Linked DNA regions of Pelodiscus sinensis. The protein of the gene in region 2 interacts with the protein of the main gene of each other region in a pairwise test. Links are inferred from orthologs where the notes say so. Each region holds a gene or a part of one and is shown on either strand. Other genes may lie near its edges.

Region 1 (7,730 bases), on a different chromosome or scaffold from region 2:
GGACCCTGCAGAACTTTAGCTGGGGAGGGGGGGGCAGGCTATAGGGGGGGGGCAAGGCTCGCCCCCCGACGCGACGCCCCCGGAGCAGCGTCCCTGGCAGCAGCGTGCCCTGTTCGCGTCCGACGCCCGCCCTGAGATTATCAGCGCGGTGTATTGGAAGCGGAAACGAATCGGAAATCCTTCTCTCAACTGCCTTTGGAGACATAAATACACAGGCGCGCGCGCGACACAACACGCTTGTCCCGCCGGGGCCTGTCTACGCCGGGCGCCCCATGCTGCGTGCACACAAGTCCACGTACAACACACACACACACACCCACACACTCTCCCGCGCGGTCATCACAACACGAGGGGACATCAGCCCAGAGCTTGCAGCGCAGCGCGATAAGTCTTCCCTCGCCCGGCCAGGCGAACCAAACTTGCCCCAGCTCTCCCAGGGAGGCAGGGAAGGGAGGGAGAGATTTTACTTGGGATTTGACAATAGCTCCCCTAACCTGCAGACTGATCTTACAAACCATCGTCCTTTCCCTCCTCCCCTCCCCTCCAACTGCCTCTGGCTTTTTACACTGCCTCAAACTCCAGTCCTGCCCCGGGTTCATTGCAGGGAGGTGACCTCGGGGGGTATTATTAACAACCCGGTTTACTTCTGAAACAAACAGGGAGGGGTGGGGAGGACGAAGGGGGATCCCGCGTTGTTAATTACCCACTCCCCTGGCTTTCTGCACACACGCACTTGTGTGTTACTGGGAAATGCTGCTTTTATGGAGTGCGTGTCCTTTTCAATGTCAAAATAAAGCCAGGACTGTTCAATGGGCTGGTGTGATAGGTAAAGGAAGGGGACACCAACACACAAGGGCTTTCATTCCCTACTTGAAATCTTTACGATTGCTCCCCCCCTTCCACAACAGCCCCCCCCCCCCCATCTCCTCTATGGCAATTACAAAATTCGGCTATCTTAAGGAAAGAAAAAATGCCAAGCAAGGTTACAATGTTGCTCTCTAGCTCCACTTAACCTGCAATTTACAAAGGGGAGGGAAGAATCTGCCAACCCTCCCGCACACACACACACACACACACTTCTGCCACCTACCCCACACCACCATCAGAGGGGCTCAGCCAGACTAAGGGAGGGAGAGGTGTGTGCAGGGGAGGGGGGATGAAAGACACCCATGCAAACTCCTACAAAATCTACCCACTCCAGGAGCACAAGACTGAAACCCAATCTACTGGGGGGGGGGGGGGGAGTCCGGATTAGGAGGAAATCACAGACACGCGGAATAGAAACGACAAAAATAAAGACCTTCCCGCGCCATTGCAAAGTCACCAAAGGATGGGGTGGGAAGGCAGGATACATTAACTTTTGCATGCAGCCAAAAGAAAACACACATACACAGTGCAATCAAGATCCCACAGTCAGACACACACATACACACCAGCGCATCAAGATCAGCACATACACACAAACCAGTGCAATCCACACACACACAGAGCAGTGCAATCAGATCAGCACACACACACACACACACACAAACCAGTGCAACACACACACACACACAGAGCAGTGCAATCAAGATCAGCACACACACACACACACACAAACCAGTGCAACACACACACACACACAGAGCAGTGCAATCAAGATCAGCACACACACACACACACACAAACCAGTGCAACACACACACACACACAGAGCAGTGCAATCAAGATCAGCACACACACACACACAAACCAGTGCAACACACACACACACACACAGAGCAGTGCAATCAGATCAGCACACACACACACAAACCAGTGCAACACACACACACACACACAGAGCAGTGCAATCAAGATCAGCACACACACACACACACACAAACCAGTGCAACACACACACCCCAGTGCAATCCAGATCAGCGCGCGCGCACACACTACGCCAGTGCAATCCAGATCAGCAAGCGCGAGATTTCCACCCATCGCGGCCGGTGTTTACTAACCCATAGCCCCCAGACTGGAGCGTCTTGCCTTCGCCTCTCGGCTTCCTCAGCCGCCTCTCGCCTCTTCCCGTTTAGATCCCGGTTCCAATCCCTCGCCGGAGCCCCCCACGGCGGTCCTGCTGGTGCTGCGGCAAAGCCATGGCGGTGCTCATCTGTCAGAGCAGGGGCGCACACGGGCGTGCAACACGCGCAGCGCAGGAGAGGGAGGGAGGGAGCGAGCGGGGCCGCTGGGGGGGGGGGGGGAGGCAGGCGGGGAGGGGGGGAGAGAGGAGGGGATCGCACGGAGATAGAGAGATAGAGGCGAGGGAGATAAAGAGAGAGGGATCGCTCGAGCAGGGGGGAAAATGGCGTCTCGCGAGCCGGAGTCAATCCAATTCACAGTCCCGGCTAATTTTAGCAGGCTCCGACATAAACTGGGACAGGAGCAAAGGGGGAGGGGAAGGGGGGGAGAAGGCAAAGAGGAGGGGGAGGAGGAAAAGGAGAGGGGGGGGGGACCCAGGCACCGGGTCAGAGCCTGGCTCTGGGAGGGATGGAGCGGCTCCGTGGATAGACGCAGCGGCTCCTTTTTTTACGCGGTTCCCCCTTTCCCCCCCCCCCCCCCCCCGGCGCGCAGAGGGGGACGGTGGCGGAGCTGGGGGGGTTGCTGATCGCGGCAGTTTAATCGGGGCTGAAGCGCTGCTCTGGGATGGCTGGTAGCTCCATGGCTCCCCCTACGCGCCTCGGAGTCCTTCGGCGGCGCGAGTCCCGGAGCAGGGGAAGGCAGGAGGAGGAGCGGGTTAATAGGCGCGGGGGGAGGAAGGATCCGCGCTCTTGCTGCCCGGCCCGGCCGCTCCAGGAGAGCTGGGGTCTACGCCCGGGGGCTGCGCTTTGCTCTCCCGGCGGCTGCCTGGGGTGATTTGTTGTGGCTTTCCAGGAGGCAGGGCCGGCGCGGAGTTGTTCAAACCGATCCACCGCGCCCCTGGCTTCCTCCCGCCGTGCCCTGTGTGTTTTTCTCGCTCCCGGAGACTTGCGGCGGCAGTAGTAGGTTTTGTTTTTGAAAGGAAGGATCAAACACACACACACACAGCCGGGCTGGAAGGCTCAGCGCTCCGCTAATGAACTCAACACTGCCACTGCCTGACACAAGAGCAGCAGTGTTGGGGGCAGGGGAGAACGGAGAAAAGAAACAGAGAGGGGGAAGAGATCCGGATTAGTGACATTTACCCCACTGGCCAGCCCCAGAGACCTGCCACAGGCGGGCCCCAGAGATGTACTAGAAAGCAGAGCATCCATGGGTGCTCTATGATGGTTTATACACTTCTTTCTAGTGGGGAGGGGACTGTTGCAGGCTGGAGAACCCAGGCCTTAGACACCCCCGTCAATCACTCCTGGCAGGAGTCATTCTGTTGAAAACAGTAAGGGGGAGTCAGGGCTAAAGAGGTGAGTAAAGGTTTGCAGAGTGGAGACTTTTCACAGCAATAAGCATACCCCTCGGCTTCCACATGCAGGCAAGTGTTAGCCTAAACATATCCTGTGTGCCTCATTTTATGGACTTGCTTGGGATACCCCATCCTGTTTAGATGGCACCACTTTGGATTAAGAGCCGGCCTGTAGCACACATGCAAAGGATCAGGGTGTATCAGTGATACAAGGAGCTTCTCCCTTTTGAACTGACAGACACCAGCCCCTCTGGCTAGGCTCTGAGGCAATCCACCTGAAATGGGGCAATCCACCCCTCTGGGGCATGAGGGTGTGTGCAGGCTCTACATCTCCCTCGAAGGTGAAACAGTCCTTCCCTAGGAGGGAATAGAGCAATAGAGCCTATAATGGTTTTCAGCCCTGCCTACACATGGTTTGTGATCCACAGGTTGGATTGTAAGAGGATCAGGGCAGAGATTTGTCTTTTTTGTTGACCCTACAACAACGGAAACCTGGTGTCACAGTAGGGCCCTGGGAGCTATGGTAATGCAGAGAACATTAGACCAGTTCACACCTCTCTGCTCTTTCATGCATGAGGAAAGACTCCCAGCTATCACCTGATGTGCCTTCACAGCCTTCCTGCCAGGGTGTCTACAACCCCCCTCCCCCCACAGCTGACCACAGCTAAGCAGGGGACAAACTTTCCCTCTCTTTATTCCCTTCAACACTAGTCACCTGTCACAGGGTGGGCACCCAGGGAATCAGCACTCCTGCCTCAGAGTGCCCTCTGCTGGTTGGTGGCCCAGCCTGTGGGGTAGGTTTTCTACTGGTTCCGCTCTGTGTCCCTTCCTGGCCATGATGCCTTTCCTCCTCAGACAGGCCTATGCCCAGACTGTCCTATGTCAGTGCCCCTGCACTCTGGGGTCCTCCCCTCCCAGGGAACCCCCAATTCCCCTCTGCCCACCTTGCCTCAGTGACCCACTGCCAGCCATCATCTAGCTCCTTACCTGAAGGGCAAACTGCAGTCTGAAATGGCCACTCCTCATTGGCAAGGGGTGTGGACCTGCTGCCTTTTCCTATCTTGGCTGTGCCCTTGCAGCCCTAGTACACTCTGGCCTTGCAGTCTGGGAGCAAGGTTAGGCCAGAACTCCCCAGCACCACTCCGTCTGGGGCAGCTACTAGATTCCCTGGCAGCTAAGTACCTCCTGCTCCCCAGAAAGAGTATCTGTTCTCCTGCCTCCAGGAGCCCTTATTTATACAGCCCCAGCAGGGCCCTAATTGGCTGTATTTGCCTCAGCTGCTGGCTCCAGGCTCTCAGCCTTCCCCCAGGGCTGGGTTTTACCCTTAAAGGGCCAGAGTGGGGTAGACGCCCCATCACATCACCCATCTTCAAGAAAGATTAATTCAGACTAGAAGAGGTCCAGACAAGGGCTACTAAGAAGATCCAGGGATTTCCTGTCTTACAGAGGAAAAGAAAAGAGTGTGGCTTGTTTTGCCTACAAAAATGAGAGCTGAGAAAGGATCAGATTTCTCTCTATAAATATATGGGGGAGGGGGCGCAGAGAAGGAGAAGAGCTATTTAAGCTAAATAACAATGATGGCACAAGAACAAAGGGGCATAAACTAGCCATGTCTATGCCTCTATAACTTGTTCCTGGGGGATGTTGTACAGACCAAAACGATAACGGGGTTACAAAAAAGAAATAGATAAGATCAGATCAGCAAGGACTATTAGCCAAGATGATCAGGGATGCAACTCCAAGTGGCCATAGCCTTGGATTGCTGGAAGCTAGGAGTAGGTGGCAGGGGATGGATACTGGGTGGTTTGCTCTTCTGTTCTTTCCCTCTGAAATCCCTAGAATCATAGAGCTAGAGGAGACCTCAGGAGGCCAAGGCAGGAGCAATCTCAACTAAATTAACCCAGCCAGGGCTTTGTCAAGCCAAGACTTAAAAACCTCTAGGGATGGAGATTCCAACACCTCCCTCGGTAACACATTCCAGTGCTTCTCCACCCTCCCAGTGAAATAGTTTTTTCCTAATATACAACCTAGATTTCTCCCATTGTAACTTGAGTCTATTGCTCCTTGTTCTGCCATCTGTCACTACTGTGAACAGCCTCTCTACATCCTCTTTGGAACCTCTCTTCAGGAAGTTGAAGGCTGCTATCAAATCCCTCCTTACTCTTCTCTTCTGCAGACTAAATAAGCCCAAATCCCTCCATCTCTCCTCATAGGTCATGTGCTCCAGCCCCCTAATCTTGTTTGCTGAAGACTAAGCCCATTTCCTCTTGACTTACTTCAGTAAACATAGAGAGCAATTGATCACAGTCCTCTTTACAATAATCCTTAACATATTTGAATACTGCTATCACATTCCCCGCTCCCTGGGTACGTCTACACTGCACAGTTATTTCGGAATAAGCTATTCCAGAATAGTTATTCCGAAATAGCTTATTCTGAAATAGCTTATGTCTACACTGCAGGGAAGCCTCAAAATTAATCTGAGGCAGGCTTCCCCTAATGTAGACGTGCTACTTCAGTTTCGAACCTCAAGAGGCACTGGAGAGGAATAACTTAGAATGGCCCTGGTGAGGTGCTATTTCAAAATAGCAGAAGTGGAGCATCTATAAATGCCTTATTCTGAAGTAGCTATTTTGGAATAGGCATTATTCCTCATGGAATGAGATTTACAGATTTTGGAATAAGTTGCCCGTTATTGTGAAATAATGGAATTGCTTTGTAGACGCTTGCATAGTTATTTCCAAACAACAGCCATTATTCCAGAATAGCTTTGCTGTGTAGGGACCCCTCCATCCAGTCCTCTTTTTCAAGGCTCAGTGTAACACCAACAAATGGAACTGAACCTAGGAACTCTGGATCATAGTGCTTGAGCTATAAAGCCCTCTCACGCTCAGATATGGCTGGAGAGAAAACTCATTTCCTCATTTCATTTCTTTCTCTAAGTGGTCTAAGTGCCACTACATGGGACAATATACCACACCCAGAAGGTGTGTGGGTTACATAAACATGCCCTATAAAACACACACACACACACACACACACACACACACACACACACACACACACACTTTTCCTCAGAGGTCAACTTTTCTAAAGCTTTTATCATTTTGTTTCTTGCTTCTGACTTCTCTCCAATTTGTCCACATCCTTCCTCCGTTGTGGTACCCAGATCCTGCTGAAACTTCACCATTGCCCAATAGAGTATAACAATTGCCTCCTGCATCTTACATATAACACTCTAGTTAATACACCCCAGACTGATATTAGCCTCTTTTGCAACTGCCTCTCATTTTCACTTTCTGATTCGCTATAACCCCAAAATCCTTTTTCAGTAGTACCGCCACCAGACAATTATTCCCCATTTTGTAACTGTGCATTTGATTATTCCTTCCTAAGTGAAGTACTTTGCACTTCTCTTTATTAATGGCTTTTCTCATTGAGGTCTCCCAGTTAAAAACTCTGTTTTGAGATATATGGGTGCTCTGTTAATTTATAATGCAGGTTTCTTAGTCATGGTGTCACATGGTACCAAGTCAAAGCCCTTGGAGAAATCATATATACTGTATCCACACGCTTGCTTTCATCAACCAAGCCTGTAATCTTGTCCAAGAAAACAAAACAAAAGATAAAAATAACAGGTTTGTTTGACAAGACCTATTTTCCATGAAACCATGTTGACTGGCATTAATGATATTTGTAGCCTCCTTTGCAACCAGTGTTCCCTGTAATGATTTGCAGAAGGAAGATATGGTGCTCATATATGACACTGATATGCAATAGTACAAAAACTTAACATGGAACATCACAAATGTGTCAATTAAAATTATTTGCAGCTGTGGGCACTCTGCTGATCAGCTGGGAGGCCATTCAGGAGAGATTCAGGTGCTGCCCAGCTGGTTAGTGGGATGCCCATAGTCAGCAGCATGTGTTTCTACTGGTGGTGCACATCCACATATGTCTCAGGGCACATAACAAAATTTATTCTGCATATGGATGGAAAAATGAGAGGGAACATTGTTTGCAGCCTGCTCCTAGAATGTACAGGAAGCTATGATTTAAAAACAGTGGCACCAGTGAGGGGGAACGGTGGGGTGAACATGCCCCTCCCCCAAGTTTTTTTGCACTAGTACAGATGGAGAAGGGGAAAAGGAACGATCAGTTTTAACCAGTGGTCCTCTAAGTCAATACAGTTGCTGCTGGAGTAGTCTGGAATTCCATTCCCACTGCAGAGTCACCATGCTATGAAATGTGAACCAGAGCCCCTCCATAGTCACAGAAGGGCAGCCAGACTAAATTTCAGTGAGTGGCATAGTGACCTGCAGTGCAGGCT
Region 2 (7,775 bases):
ATGACACAAACATCAGAATAATACAAGTTTGTGCTGTGAGAGAAACTCAGAAAAACAGCAACAACATTTTTGATTAATTAAGGTTTCACTCATATGAAGACCCTAGTGTTTGGGTTCCCCAGATTTCATATTCACCTAATTGTAGGACTGTGAAAGTATTTGCTTTTTGGCACAAAAGAAGTGGCCCCAAAACTAGGGATTATCAGTTAATCTAGTCTACTACTTGCATTCCCCCCCCCCCCCATTGCCTCGGTATAAGAGACAGCAAGGGGGGGAGAAGCAGGGAGCTGGTGCCCCCCAGTAGCAAGTCTGCAGTGCCGCCTGCCCCCCTCCCCCGCACCACCATGCTGCTGCCTCTCATAGAGGCAGCAACATGGGGGAGAGAGGAGGCTGCCACAAAGCAGTCTCTGCCCATGGCGGACTCTGGCTCGCTGCTGCCAGAGGCTGTTCTGTAGGATGCAAAGCAACCTCTGTAGTAAGCCTGCTCTGCGAGATGCTGTTTCGGGGCAACAGCTCCTGTCCACAGGGGGTCAGAGCTCCCTGTGGACAGAGGCTAGAGTGTTTGGGGGGGCACCAGGGGAGGCTGCTGCAGAGCAGCCTGTGCCCTTGGCAGGCCCTGACTCACCATGGCAGGCCGTGACTGCTTCACGGGATGCAGAGCAACGTCTGTCCATGGGAAGCCTGTTCTGTGGGATGCTGCTTCACTGCAGCAGCTCCTATGCATGGTGAGCTCGGGCCTGCCATCAACAGAGGCTGGTCCCTGGCAGTAGCCCCAGTTCACAGAGGTCTGATCTCCCTAAAGACAGAGGCTGGAGTAGCCTCTGTCCGTGCAGAGCTCGGACCCATCACGGACAGGGGCTGCTATCACCCCATGCTGCTGCCTCTATATCAGAGGCAGCAGCACAGGGCAGCAAGCAGCTGGTCTACAAGGGGAGCTGGTTTTTAACTGTCTCCCCTCGTGGACCATTTCCCACCTAGCACTATGTACTGCTGCCTCTGATACATTGGACCATAGAATAGTCAACTAACCACTAAGAATTCGTGCAGTTAGTCAACTATTGTATTACCCAATATCTAACATCTCTACCCAAAACATTAATCTATGAAAAATCAGAATTATTAGATTAACTGATAAAGTATCCAAGGGGAAGGAAGATCCCAGTAAAGATTCTGAATTCCATTTGAATTCAAGTTTGGTATTTCCATTACTTCCAGAGATCTTTGGGACATTTTTACTTCAGCCCCAAGGCAGGACCTGACAGCCAGTGAAGTCCGCTGCAACTCCTAGCCACAACAGGTTGCAGGGGCTCCCTTTAAAAATCCAGCCAAGATGACAGGTAGGGGGGGACCTGCTGTGGTCCCTATCCAGGATGCCCCACAACTGAAAGCCACCATCAGGAGTAGTGGAAGGACCCTTACAGCTCCAAGCCTCTTCCATATGTGGGGTACCCCACATCTCTAAGCTGTTGCCAGCTGCCAGAGGACCCCACACTTGCAGTCACCATGGGAGGGAATCGTGGAGCCCCAGCAACCACAGATATTGGCATAGGTAGCAGTTATTGAAGGCAGCAGAAGGCTGAGCTACACCAAAAAGCCTTGTATGGCCTTTGGCCCCTCTCATGCTCTGCCCCCAGGTCCCTTCCTGCTTCCCAGAACTGTGCTGTGTGGGGGAGGTACCAGGATAGGGCTGAGGTTAATGAGGGCTGCCTGGTGCTGGGGGGCTATGCAACACTCACATAATACTCAAGGGCTGGGAGGGCACACCACCCATATGTGCTGGGAGGGTGATAACCACTTTGCACTCCAGGGTTGAGGGAAGAAGGTCTCTGGTAAGGATGCTAAAATGCGATTAATTGACTAGTCAGTTGACTCTGGGTTCCATGTGGCACTTCCCTGGACTCCCCAGCTGATCCCAGGTCCTGGGGAAATGCCATAGGGAGCCCAGGGTCAGCTGGGGAGGTCCCAGCTGACCCCGGGATCAATGGCAGCTGCCCCTTTGAATCGTGCGGAGGCAGTATTTTAAAGGGCCAGCCCGCTGCACAGCTGATCTTGGGATCAGCTATGCGGCCTGTTGGCTCTTTAAAACACTGCCTCTGCATGATTCAAAGGGGCAGGAGGGAAGCCCAGGGTCAGCTGGGAACTCCCCAGATGACCCCAGGCTCCCTGTGGCATTTCCCCAGGACTCAGGATCAGCTGGGGAGTCCAGGGAAGTGTCACATGGAACCCACAGTCAACTGGGGACTCTCCAGCTGATCCCAGGTTCTGGGGAAATGCCACAGGGATCCCAGGATCAGCTGGGAATCCCCAGCTGACCCCGGACTCCAGGGCTGCCCCTTTGATTCCCCGCAGAGGTGGTGTTTTAAAAGGGGCAGCCTGCCACACAGGTGATCCCAGGATCAGCTGTGCAGCTGCCACCTTCAGGTTTCAGAGCAGCAGTGCCACTTTAAAGTACCCCTTTTCCCCCCACCCAGTGCTGCCTCTATTTCATATAGGCGGCAAGGGGGGAATTGTCTAGTTGACATTACTATCTGATAAGCAAATTCTTATTGGATAGTCAACTAGTCTTTAACATCCTTCATCTGTGGGCCACACTACCCACATGCCAGGCACTCTGGGACTGCTGGAGGAAAGTCATATTGCATACTCAAGAGTGCTGTGGGGGGAGAAAGAAGGGTTCCACATAGGAGTGAGGTGTCTGGACTTCAGTGGAAGGAAAAATGCCTCAGGCAGAAGTGACAGGCCAAGGGCTAACCATCCTGAGACCAGGGTTCACCTACAACCTGTGTGTTCTAGACCCTCCTCCTTTCCCATTTTGTCAGTTATTTTTATTAAAAGTCAGGGACTTATGTGAATTTTTAGTTGTTGCCCATGACCTGCCTGTGACTTTTACTAAAAATAATAATAACAAAATCTTAGCTTACCTCTTGCACAGCTGTGCACACAGTGGTCCTTTGTCCGATGGTCAGGATGTACAAGTGCCACAACTTGCTGTTGCAGTTAATAGATTTAAGCTTTCTCTGCCAAGTGTTTTTGCAAGTGCTCTGGAGACACAGGATTCTTTCTGTCCATCATCTCAAACCTACCCAGCTGTAGGGATGTAAAATCCCATTTAATCATTTAACTGGGAAACCACATGAAGGGGGTGGGGCAGAGGGTAGGCTGGAGCACCTTCCTTCCCTGCTGCAGGTGGGGGCTATTCCAGCCAGGATGGAGCCCCCCTGTGTGAGGAGCACCAGCCCAGGCTTGCTATATACAGGGGCTGCTCTACCTGGGCTAGAGCACCCCCTTCCCACATTGGACCTTGCTGGGATAGAGCAGCTCCCTGCCTGTAGCAGGTGGGGAGCTGTTCCAGGCCCCATCAGTTAATTGCAACTGGCAAGCCTTGCTGGGTGATGCTTACCAGTTAACCATTCACATTCCTACTCAACATCTTGCCCAGCCACCTAATCCAGGTGCTACCAGGTGAGTTTGGTGAAGATTGCCAAGCAACATGCAGAGTTTAAAAGAAAATGCACTTCATTCCTTGCTGACACCTGCTTTTGTAAGAGGAAAAAAGAGTCATAGAATTTTTTTTATTCAAAAGGATGTTTCTCCACCTGTCTAGATCATGACAGGATTGCTTTTGTATTCTTAACCCACTGCTAATAGTATTAAATAGGTCCACTAATGGAAAATTTTCTCCTTTAGAAGTTCAGTTACTTTATAGCTATGTTTTCCCACTTATTTAACCATTTTTCCTACTGCATTTTCAGACCTTTGTTCCGTGATATTGTCCTTGTTGTGACAAGAGAATACTGATAGTATTCTCTTTATAAGTTTGTGAAAAGGTCAGTCCCATTCCTGGGCCCCTGTTCAACTCAGTCTCACCAATTATTTAGGTACTGTGGCACAGGCCACTCTTGCCCTTGCTGGGGTTTAGATTTCTGTCCCTCAGCTAGAAGGGCTTTGGGGCAGGTGCCCCTTGATCTCCCTAGGCTGGGTAAGCAGACCTCCCCAGCCATTGGCTGAAATGCTCAAGCTACTTGGGGAAGGGAGCCCAAACAGTTCCCGTCAGAGCTCCTGACCTTCCTTGCTATCTCCAGCAACACTGACTTCTCTTTATTAGCATCTCCAAGTCTCTCCTTATCTGCTATCATTTCTCTCACTTTTCCTGGGAGTAGAGAGGAGGGGAAGCTTTTAAAAAGACCCTGTTGCAGCCTGAAGTCAGAGCAGCTGGCCCTAATTGGTTTATAGTAGCCTCATCTCAGCTGCTCCCATTCCACCCATGATAATTCCAGGACCATTTCTGCCTTTTAAAGCTGCCTCTCTCTCCTTTGAATCAAGCCCTCTGGCCTGACCTTGTCACAAGTTATATAATTAATTGCTATTCCATTTTCATTTCTCCCAATTATATTTAGTGTATTTTTTAACTTCCTGTAAAATATGGGCATTATTTTTCCATTATTGTTATTTTTAGTGTTCCTGTCTGACTTGTCTCTAATTTGGCCATATTTTTTTAAACCATAGCACTCCTGTTACTTGGGCTATAATTCTACTCTGAAAAGTATGTGAAGATTTCCTTTTTTTTTTTTTGCTAAGATGCTCTTTTGATAGGATGTTCAAAACTGTCCTCACATGGTTTATTAGTGGTTTACAATTGTGTGTCAACAACTCTTATCAAGCCTGACATATACAATGTACTCCAACTCGTTGTCATAATCTCTATCTAAAAGATGACACATAAAGTATATGCAAGATAGTGATACACTAGTCTTGAAAATCATTGTGTGGTATAGGCCAAGCCCGTTCCCCACTATCCATCTGCCTCCCCTGCCCTCTGCAGAGATGATGTATCAGCTCCAGCTCCCTCCCCTGCCTTGCTGCTTCTGTTAAGGGCAGCAAGGCCGGGAGGAGGGGAGGGGGGGGACTGCTAATGCCTGTGATGCACATGTTATTTCTGTATTCCATTTCTGGAAAGTAGTGAACAGAAAGGATGAAACAACTCTATCAGGTGACTTAATTACTATAGTTTCTTTGACACCAAGATAATCAAAAGCCATAAGGCACATACAGCATGCATTCAGAAGCATCCTTATGTCTGTTTACTCCTGAGTATTATATAAGTCTTGAGCTTATTCAACCTCTACCAGTTATGGACTTTATCATAGAATCAGAGGATAATAGGACTGGAAGGGACCTCGAGAGGTCATTGAGTCCAGTCCCCTGCCCTCATGGCAGGACCAAATACTGTCTAGACCATCCCTGATAGACATTTATCTAACCTACTCTTAAATATCTCCAGAAATGGAGATTTCACAACCTCCCTGGGCAATTTATTCCAGTGTTTGACTACCCTGACAGTTAGGAACTTTTTCCTAATGTCCAACCTAAACCTCCTGTGCTGCAGTTTAAGCCCATTGCTTCTTGTTCTATCCTCAGATGCCAAGATGAACACGTTTTTTCCCTCCTCCATATGACACCCTTTTAGATACCTGAAAACTGCTATCATGTCCCCCCTCAATCTTCTCTTTTCTAAACTAAACAAACACAGTTTTTTCAGCCTTCCTTCATAGGTCATGTTCTTTATACCTTTAATCATTCTTGTTGCTCTTCTCTGGACCCTCTCCAATTTTTCCATATCTTTCTTGAAATGCGGTGCCCAGAACTAGATGCAATACTCCAACTGAGGCCTAACTAGCGCAGAGTAGAATGGAAGAATGACTTTTCATGTCTTGCTCACAACACACCTGTTAATGCATCCGAGAATCATGTTTGCTTTTTTGAAAATAATCAGCATAACGGCATTGCGCAAGAGGGTTTTTCTTGCGCAAGAAGGGGAAGTGTAGACGCTCCTTCTTGTGCAAGAGCCTCTTCTGCAAAAATGGCAGCTCATTAGATATGCAAATGAGGCTCGGCGATATTCCACGCTTAGCCTCATTTGCATATATCTGGCACAAGATCACGCCAGTGTAGACATAGCCTATGTGTGAAACTGATTGTTCCTTCCTAAGTGGAGCACTTTGCATTTGTCCTTATTAAACTTCATCCTGTTTACCTCAGACCATTTCTCCTATTTGTCCAGATCATTTTGAATTATGACCCTATCCTCTAGATTAGTCACAACCCCTCCCAGCTTGGTATCATCTGCAAACTTAATAAGCGTACTTTCTATGCCAATATCTAAATTGTTGATGAAGATATTGAACAGAGCCGGTCCCAAAACAGACCCCTGCGGAAACCCACTTGTTATACCTTTCCAGCAGGATTGTGAACCATTAATAACTACTATCTGAGTACGGTTATCCAGACAATTATGCACCCACCGTAGCCCCATCTAAGTTGTATTTGCCTAGTTTATTGATAAGAATACCATGTGAGACTGTATCAAATGCCTTACAAAGTCTGTATCAAAGCCTAGGTATACCACACCCACCTCCTCTCCCTTATCCACACAGGACTCGTTATCCTATCAAAGAAAGCTATCCAATTGGTTTGACATGATTTGTTCTTTACAAATCCATGCTGGCTAGTCCCTATCATCTTGTCACCTTCCAAGTGTTTACAGATGATTTCCTTAATTACTTGCTCCATTATCTTCCCTGGCACAGAAGTTACACTAACTGGTCTGTAGTTTCCTGGGTTGTTCTTATTTCCCTTTTTATAAATGGGCACTATATTTGCCCTTTTCCAGTCTTCTGGAATCTCTCCTGTCTCCTATGATTTTCCAAAGATGATAGCTAGAGGCTCAGATACCTCCTCTATCAGCTCCTTGAGTATTCTAGGATGCATTTCATCAGGCCCCGGTGACTTGCAGACATCTAACTTTTCTAGGTGATTTTTAACTTTTTTTTTTAATTTTATCTTCTAAACCTACCCCCTTCCCACTAGCATTCACTATATTAGGCATTCCTTCAGACTTCTCAGTGAAGACCGAAAGAAAAAACTCATTATGCATCTCTGTCATTTCCAAGTTTCCTGTTTCTGTTTTTCTCTCCTCACTGACCAGTGGGCCTACCCTGTCATTGGTCTTCTTCTTGCTTCTAATATATTTATAAAAGGTCTTCTTGTTTCCCTTTATTGCCGTAGCTAGTTTGAGCTAATTTTGTGCCTTTGCCTTTCTAATCTTGCCCCTGCATTCCTGTGTTGTTTGCCTATATTCATCCTTTGTAATTTGTCCTACTTTCCATTTTTATATGACTCCTTTTTTATTTTTAGATCATGCAAGATCTCGTGGTTAAGCCAAGGCAGTCTTTTGCCATATTTTCTATCTTTCCAACACAGTGGAATAGCTTCCATTTGGGCCCTTAATAATGTCCGTTTGAAAAACTGCCAACTCTCCTCAGTTGTTTTCCCCCTCAGTCTCGATTACCATGGGACCTTACCTATCAGCTTTCTGAGCTTACCAAAATCCGCCTTCCTGAAATCCATTGTCTCTACTTTGCTGTTCTCCCTTCTACCCTTCCTTAGAATTGTGAACTCTATGATTTCATAATCACTTTCACCCAAGCTGCCTTCCACTTTCAAATTCTCAACCAGTTCCTCCCTATTTGTTAGGATCAAATCTAGAACAGCTTCCCCCCTTCTGAAATAAAAAGTTGTCTCCAATGCAGTCCAAGAACTTATTGGATAGTCTGTGCCCCGCTGTGTTATTTTCCCAACTTATATCTGGATAGTTGAAGTCCCCCATCACCACCAAATCTTGGGCTTTGGATGATATTGTTAGTTGTTTAAAAAAAGCCTCATCCACTTCTTCCACCTGGGTAGGTGGCCTGTAGTAGACTTAGCCTAGCATGACA
Region 3 (7,512 bases), on a different chromosome or scaffold from region 2:
TCGTCCACGACCTCCGCACTAGGCACAGGAAAGTGGCCGTCTAGGGCAGGAGAGCTGTCAGCCTGGCCACCCAGGAGCAGGTGTGCATGAAAATCAAGATGGTCCACTGAAACCCCCGACCCTGAGCCCTGAGCTTACAATGGCCATCCTGGGTCAGACCAAAGGTCCATCTAGCCCAGTAGCCTGTCTGCCAACAGCGGCCGACCCTAGGGACCCTGGAGGGGATGGACCGAAGACAGTGACCAAGCCATTTGTCTCGTGCCATCCCTCTCCAGCCTTCCACAAACCTTGGGCAGGGACACCACTCCTACCCCCTGGCTAATAGCACTCCATGGACCCAACCTCCATGACCTGATCTCACTTCCCTTTAAACTCTGTTCTCGTTGTAGCCTTCACAGCCTCCTGCAGCAAGGAGTTCCACAGGTTGACTCTTTGCTTTGTGAAGAACAACTTTCTGTTACTAGTTTGAAGCCTGCTACCCATTCCTTTCCTTTGGTGTCCTCTAGTCCTTCTTTATGGGAACTAATGAAGAACTTTTCTGTATGCACCCTCTCCACCCAACTCCTGCTTTTAGAGACCTCTATCCTGTTCCCCCTCCGTCTTCTCTTTTCTAAGCTGAAAAGTCCCAGTCTCTTTAGCCTCTCTTCATATGGGATCTGTTCCCAACCCCTGATCATTTTAGTTGCCCTCCCCTCTCCCACCCTCTCTCTTCCCCTCTCCCACCTCCTTTTCCCAGTTTCCCCCAGTTTTGTTCAATAAAGACAGATTCCATTTTTAACACAATTGTCCTTTATTTTGTACATCAAGAAGAGGGGCTAGGGAAGGGTAAGTGGAAGGAGGTGAGGGAGGAATGGGGCACGAGCCCCCAATGGGGAGGACTGGGCTGGCTCTGCGGGCTTCTGGGGGTGGAAGCTCTCCTGCAACCCCCCAATTTCCCCCACTCTCAGATGGCAGCCTGCGGCAAGTGCAGCCGGGCTGATGGCCGAGTGCTGTGATGTGCCCAGTGTGGGTAGTCCGGGCACTCCAAGCCAGGACTGCTTTGCAAGCGGGAAACCCCTGAGAACTGTCTGTCCGGGGTGGGGGTCGGGACCCTTTAAGCACAGCCCTCTGCTAGCCTGAGACAGCATCTCCACACTCTAAGTCCTCCTCTGATGCCCTGCCGGCACTGCTTCCGGCCATCCTTAAGCATGGTTCAGGGTCCACTCTGTGTGGACATGCTAGTTCGAATTAGCAAAACGTTAATTCAAACTAGTTTTTTAGTCTGGATCCGTTAGTTCGAATTAGCTTAGTTCGAATTAACGTTGTAGTGTAGACGTACCCTGAGAGACATTGTTGAGTCTGCTAGACTAGCAGTGAGTAAACAGAAAATTAAAGGAAAATAAAGACATTGCAAAGAAGCTAAGTTATTTCCTTCCTGCAGAAACTGTTCCTCAACTTCTGTGGATGTATTTAAGATGAGACAGCTAGAACAAAGTGATAAATCTAAGAGCAACAGGTGCAGATGAAATGACTCATGGGTTTGGAAGAAATTTCCGAATGAACTAGGTGAGCTACTCATGAAGTTAAGCAATCTCATCAAAATAAGTTCTTTCCCAGAGGACTGGGGAGTGGCGAATATTGTTTCTATCTTAAAAGCACTAGGAATGTATCCTGGAATTTAAAAAAAAAGAGTATGGTCTTGAATACCAGGACCAATGGTTGAAACCATATTTTAAAAAAGCAGAATAATTAACACTTTGAAAAATGTGAAAAGGGAGTCATTAGCATTGCTGCTGCAATGGAAGACAGATCCAATTTTCCTTTCCTTTTGACCAGTTTCACACAAAAAAGAGAACATTTGCTTAATGTGTAATAGACACATTAAAAAGAGAAGAGGGAGAGTGAAATCCTTAAGGAACGGAAATAACACTGAAAGTATTGTAATGCCATTAAAAAGATTAATGAGTCACCCTCACCTGGCTTCGTTGAATCTCTTTTTACATTTACTTAAATGACAACACATTTAATATTGATGGAAGGAAACTTTTTACCCAATTCATCTGTGGAACTCACTGCCATTAAATAGCCGCAAGGTCAAAAGTTTGTAAGATTTTTTTTAAAGGATAAAGGCTTATTGATAATGAGAACATCTAAAATACCATAGGTAGGATAAACAACAGATTAAAACCCATGTTTCAGGTCATGTTTCAAAATGATGGGAGTAAAGAAACAACATTCCCTATCCGGGGATAACTGTCGACTATAGTTTCTTGTGGACATGTGCGAGCACACTCATACCCCATCCTGTGACATCTTGTATTGGCCACTTTTGTACCTAGAGTACTGGACTAGACAAGAGGATCCCATTGGCTGATTTGGCAATGCCTACATTCCAAGGAAATCATATGACAAATATTAACACAGTAGTACAGTTAGGTTCTTAACACTCAGGGAAGATGAAAATTAAACTGAGAACCACAAATCAGTCCCTTGTGGGTGTATATATTATAGTCCTCTTGATTCTATTCCATTCGAGGGAAAAAACCTGTATGCTGTCATATTATCTGAGAAACAGTACATGACATCATGCAAATAACACTTAATTGTATGCTTGTACAAGGGGAAGAGTAGAAGAGCTGTGGTCCAGTGCCGCCTCTTCCCCAGAGCCAAGGACTTCCAGCCCCCTCCTAACCTAATGCCTACCCCTTTCCCCAGAGGCAGGAACTTCCAGGCCCCCCGCCCCCAACCTAATGCTTCCCTCCTCCCCCAGAGCCAAGGATTTCCAGCTCCTCCTAATCTAATGCCTCCTCCCTTCCTAGAGGCAGACACCTCCCAACCTAATGCATCCCACCTCCCCCAGAGACAGGCATACCTCAGCCCCCCACAACTTAATGCCTGGATTCTGGAACCACCGTCGTCACATTGCTGTTGCTGCCACTGCCACGCTTCCTTAGGCGCTGGGGTAGTGAGAGTAAGCAGCCAGCTGGCTGTGATCACATGCTGCGGGCCCTGCGCACAGTGGCTGGTTGGCTGTGACCACGTGCTGGGGGCCATGCGCAGAGCTGCCCAGCCGGCGTCACCTGCACTCAGTCACGTGCTCCACGCGGCCAGCGGGCCGCACTTCCGTCTGTCTGAAAATGCACTGGCGGGCCCCAAAAAACTTCAATGGGGCCACATGCGGCCCTCCAGATGCCAGTTTGACATGCCTGGCGGTGTACACAAATCCTTGCTTTGATCAGCCTGGCTCCATTCCACCGAGCGCCCCCTTCTTTTTGCCAGGTGCTGGGGAGGGGACACTGAGCGAAATAGAGAAATGTTCCCGCCAAAGGCAGAGCCCGAGACTGCTGACCACTCACCTCTCAGGTTGTTGATAAAGACCCCCGCGCTGATCCTGTCCACTGCCAGTCAAGGCCCCCAATAACCCTCTCTCTTGGGGCACCCAGGTGCGAGAAGCTGCTCTGGGTCCAAGCCACGGAGCCCTTGTTTAATATTTACCTCCCACAGTCAGGAGTTGGGTGAATTATTTCCCTTGGCAGGCAGTGACCTCTGCCCAAAGACCTGCTGCACCCATAGTGCTGGTGGGGGGCAACCCTTCCCCAGATCACAGGCGTTTTGGGGAGGGCAGGTGCTGGATGTACAGTCCCTAGGAAATGAAGCCCAACGCTTGGGAAGCTTGGGGGGCAGTGACTGGGTTTCTCTGGCTCCACCATAGCCTAGCATGCAAGGGACAGCTCCCCAGTGGGTGCACATGGGTATCACGCCATTTATATCTCTTGAGGTCCAGGCCCCACATGCTTATTAGAAGCCTGCCCACATCTCTCAGCTTCCCTCCTGTGCCCCCCGGCCTCACAGGGAGATAAGGGGATCGGCAGGAGCTGGTGGAAGAGAGAGGAAGTCCCTGCAAGCTAGATTCCAGCCCCTGCTGTTCCTGCCCAGCCCAGCTGCTGCCTACAGGCCCCTTTGCTGCTCCACTCTTGTCTCCCCCACCACACCCAGCTCTTCTAATGCAGCTCAGCTGCGCCACTGCCATCCAAGCGCCGCCCCGCCCCCCTGCAGCTGTGCCAATGCCCCTCCATCCTGATTCACAGCCGCCCTGCAACTCCAGCTCCAAGCTCCCCCCCTCTGCTGAAGCCCTTCCCTCCTGACCCCCCCTAGCTCACCCTCCCCCCTGCTCTCACAGCCCTGCCCCCTCCCAGCTCTGTGGCTCCTCCTGACTCCTGCCCAGCTCCCCCCTCACTTTCCTAGCCCCAAATCCCTTTGTGTTACACTTCCTCAGAGCTTCTGAGGAACAAACCCAGACAAGGAGGGGTGGGCCTGGAGCAGTATGGCTTCTGGGGCTGTTTATTGGCACAGATTCTTAAGAGTCAAGTGATACTCACACAGGGTACGTCTACACTACAGCGCTAGTTCGAACTAACTTAGTTCGAATTAGTTAATTCGAACTAAGCTAGTTCGAACTAACGCATCTAGAACTAAAAACTAGTTCGAACTAGCGTTTTGCTAGTTCGAACTAGTAAGTCCACATTGAGTGGACTCTGAACAGGGCTTAAGGATGGCCGGAAGCAGTGCCGGCAGGGCATAAAAGGAGGACTTAGAGCATGGAGATACTGTCTCAGGCTAGCCGAGGGCTGCGCTTAAAGGGTCCCGACCCCCACCCCGGACACACAGTTCTAAGGGGTGCCCCGCTTGCAAAGAAGTTCTGGCTTGGAGTGCCCTGAGTGCCCACACTGGGCACATCACACCACTCGGCCATCAGCCCGGCTGCACTTGCCGCAGGCTGCCATCTGGGGAGAGGGAGTAATTGGGGGGCTGCAGGAGAGCTTCCACCCCCAGAAGCCCGCAGAGCCAGCCCAGTCCTCCCCATCGGGGGCTCGTACCCCATTCCTCCCTCACCTCCTTCCACTTGCCCTTCCCTAGCCCCCCTTCTTATTGATGTACAAAATAAAGATAACGTTTCTTCCAACATTGACTCTGTCTTTATTGAAAAAAACTGGGGGAGACTGGGAAAAGGAGGTGGGAGAGGGGAAGAGAAAGGCTGGGAGAGGGGAGGGCAACTAACATGATCAGGGGTTGGGAACAGGTCCCAGATGAAGAGAGGCTACAGAGACTGGGACTGTTCAGCTTAGAAAAGAGGAGATGGAGCGGGGACAGGATAGAGGTCTCTAAAAGCAGGGGTTGGGTGGAGAGGGTGCATTCAGAAAAGTTCTTCATGAGTTCCCATAAAGAAGGACTAGAGGACACCAAAGGAAAGGACTGGGTAGCAGGCTTGAAACTAGTAAGAGAAAGTTGTTGTTCTTCACAAAGCAAATAGTTAACCTGTGGAACTCCTTGCTGCAGGAGGCTGTGAAGGCTAGAACTAGAACAGAGTTGAAAGGGAAGTGAGATCAAGTGATGGAGGTTGGGTCCATGGAGTCCTATTAGCCAGAGGGTAGGAGTGGTGTCCCTGCCCAAAGTTTGTGGAAGGCTGGAGAGGGATGGCACGAGACAAATGGCTTGGTCATTGTCTTCGGTCCATCCCCTCCAGGGTCCCTAGGGTTGGCCGCTGTTGGCAGACAGGCTACTGGGCTAGATGGACCTTTGGTCTGACCCAGGACGGCCATTGTAAGCTCAGGGCTCAGGGTCGGGGGTCTCAGTGGACCCCCTTGATTTTCATGCACACCTGGTCCTGGGTGGCCAGGCTGGCAGCTCTCCTGCCCTAGCCGGCCACTTTCCTGTGCCTAGTGCGGAGATCGTGGACGAGGTCCACGATGTCCGCACTAGCCCAGGAAGGTGCCCGCCTCTTGCGGTCCAGGGCAAGCTCCCGGGAGCCGCCAGCCTGGTCCCGGCAAGAGGGGGTGGGCTGGGGGGCATCGGGTGGGTGGCTCTGTGCCGTGCCAGGTGCAGGGTCTGCTAGCTGGGTGCTGGCAGGCTTGCACCTGGCACGGGCACCGTAGCCAGCCCGTGCCCCTTTAAGGGGTCCGGGGCCGGGAGGGGGGCATAGAGTTTCCCTGGTGTTGGCCAGAGTGGCCACCAGGGAAACCTGGGGAGGGCTAGCCTCCCACTAGTTCGAACTAAAGGGCTACACAGCCCTTAGTTCGAACTAGCTAGTTCGAACTAGGCGTTAGTCCTCGTAAAATGAGGTTTACCTAGTTCGAACTAAGCGCTCCGCTAGTTCGATTCAAATTCGAACTAGCGAAGCGCTAGTGTAGCGCATAGGAAAGTTAGTTCGAACTAACGTCCGTTAGTTCGAACTAACTTTCTAGTGTAGACATACCCACACTCACACATATCACAGTCATGCTGGCAGTCTGGAGACAGGCTGCCAAGTGCCGTGTAGATTACTTCAGATTTCGCTGGTGGCTGGAGTGCTGGACAGGTGACCGCTTCCTGGAGACTCGGCCATGTCCCAGGTTTCTGCTGTGATGTTACATTTTGGCCAAGAGCGAGGGAGAGATTTTCTGGCTGCGTGTCCATTAATGTATCTGCTCGCAGGGTCTTTGTCTGCCTGAAAAGATCATGGATCCTCAACTGCCTTTTTGGTTGGGTATTTCTCATTCACACTTCACACACAGTGCACAGGTTCCATAAGCAATATGGTTTCTAAGCAGAGTGGTGTAGCAATATCGTTTTTCTGTAACCATGTTGGAAGGCCTGTAGCCATATTGGTAGGCATGAACTAAAGCCTTCTTCTACAGCCAGAGTGGAGAGCAGCAGCCATTAGCTGGAAAGCCTGGAGTCATAACCTCACATTCCATCTAAATTGCATTAAAATAGTGTCACACTAGGCTGTGAAAAGGCGACCTTGTCCTAATGGCCCCCATTGTCACCAGATAAAGAAAACAGATCTCAAGATGGGCAAAGAAAACTTAATTAACAGCATTTCGTCTGGCAAGAAACTGCTTATCAATAGTTGTGGTTGTGGAATCCTCATTCTTTGATTATTGGCCTCACATTTTCCTATTGTTTGTCTGTGTGATCTCTGTCCGGTTTGTAACCATTTCTGTCTGCTGTATAATTAATTTTGCTAGGTGTAAATCAACCAAGATGGTGGGGTATGATTGGTTAGGTAATTCTGTTACAGTATGTTATAATCACACAAAAATCATTGGTGAAGGCAGTGTTTCCCAATTCTATTTGGCCACGGAACCCTTTTAAACTTGAAAGAATTTTGCGGAACTCCCAATAACAATCTAATATATGGACAACAACGCTGAGTAGTGACATCATCGTCCCCACTCTCTGGCTAAGCTGGCATTACACAGGGGCACTTATCGTGGCAAACACAAATGAAAATTGTTTTCAATAAAATTCATAAATGCTTAAATATGAATTATTTTTAAATCATAAAATGTTATTGTAAAGGAATTTTCTCGCGGAACCCTTATTTTCGCTTCATGGAACCCCGGGGTTCTGCAGAAGACCATTTGGGAAACACTGGGTTAAGGTGTAGCTAAGCAGGACTCAGGCGTCACTATATAAACTGGGGTCCAAGAAGGAGATCAGCAAGAAGAGCACAAGTAATAGAAGCAGAAGGAAAGAAAGGAACACCAAGAG

What was found.
Region 1: the proteins of PLEKHF2 (region 2) and SETBP1 interact in binary tests that used the Homo sapiens proteins (3 or more experiments, as listed by UniProt). The two-hybrid records come from large-scale screens. The link is inferred for Pelodiscus sinensis from reciprocal best matches to the Homo sapiens genes PLEKHF2 and SETBP1.
Region 3: the proteins of PLEKHF2 (region 2) and ACY3 interact in binary tests that used the Homo sapiens proteins (3 or more experiments, as listed by UniProt). The two-hybrid records come from large-scale screens. The link is inferred for Pelodiscus sinensis from reciprocal best matches to the Homo sapiens genes PLEKHF2 and ACY3.

The regions. Positions count from the first base shown.
Region 1 is NC_134716.1:119,857,911-119,865,640, forward strand, and holds the start of SETBP1 (SET-binding protein), read right to left. Parts: upstream 3,049-7,730; 5' UTR 2,011-3,048; exon of another isoform or gene 1,983-2,010; intron 1,118-1,982; exon of another isoform or gene 1,091-1,117; intron 1-1,090.
Region 2 is NC_134712.1:39,749,204-39,756,978, forward strand, and holds the start of PLEKHF2 (pleckstrin homology domain-containing family F member 2), read right to left. Parts: upstream 3,069-7,775; 5' UTR 2,922-3,068; intron 1-2,921. UniProt on the Homo sapiens protein: May play a role in early endosome fusion upstream of RAB5, hence regulating receptor trafficking and fluid-phase transport. Enhances cellular sensitivity to TNF-induced apoptosis.
Region 3 is NC_134714.1:126,721,161-126,728,672, reverse strand, and holds the start of ACY3 (N-acyl-aromatic-L-amino acid amidohydrolase (carboxylate-forming)), read right to left. Parts: upstream 3,049-7,512; 5' UTR 3,034-3,048; coding exon 2,852-3,033; intron 1-2,851. UniProt on the Homo sapiens protein: Plays an important role in deacetylating mercapturic acids in kidney proximal tubules. Also acts on N-acetyl-aromatic amino acids.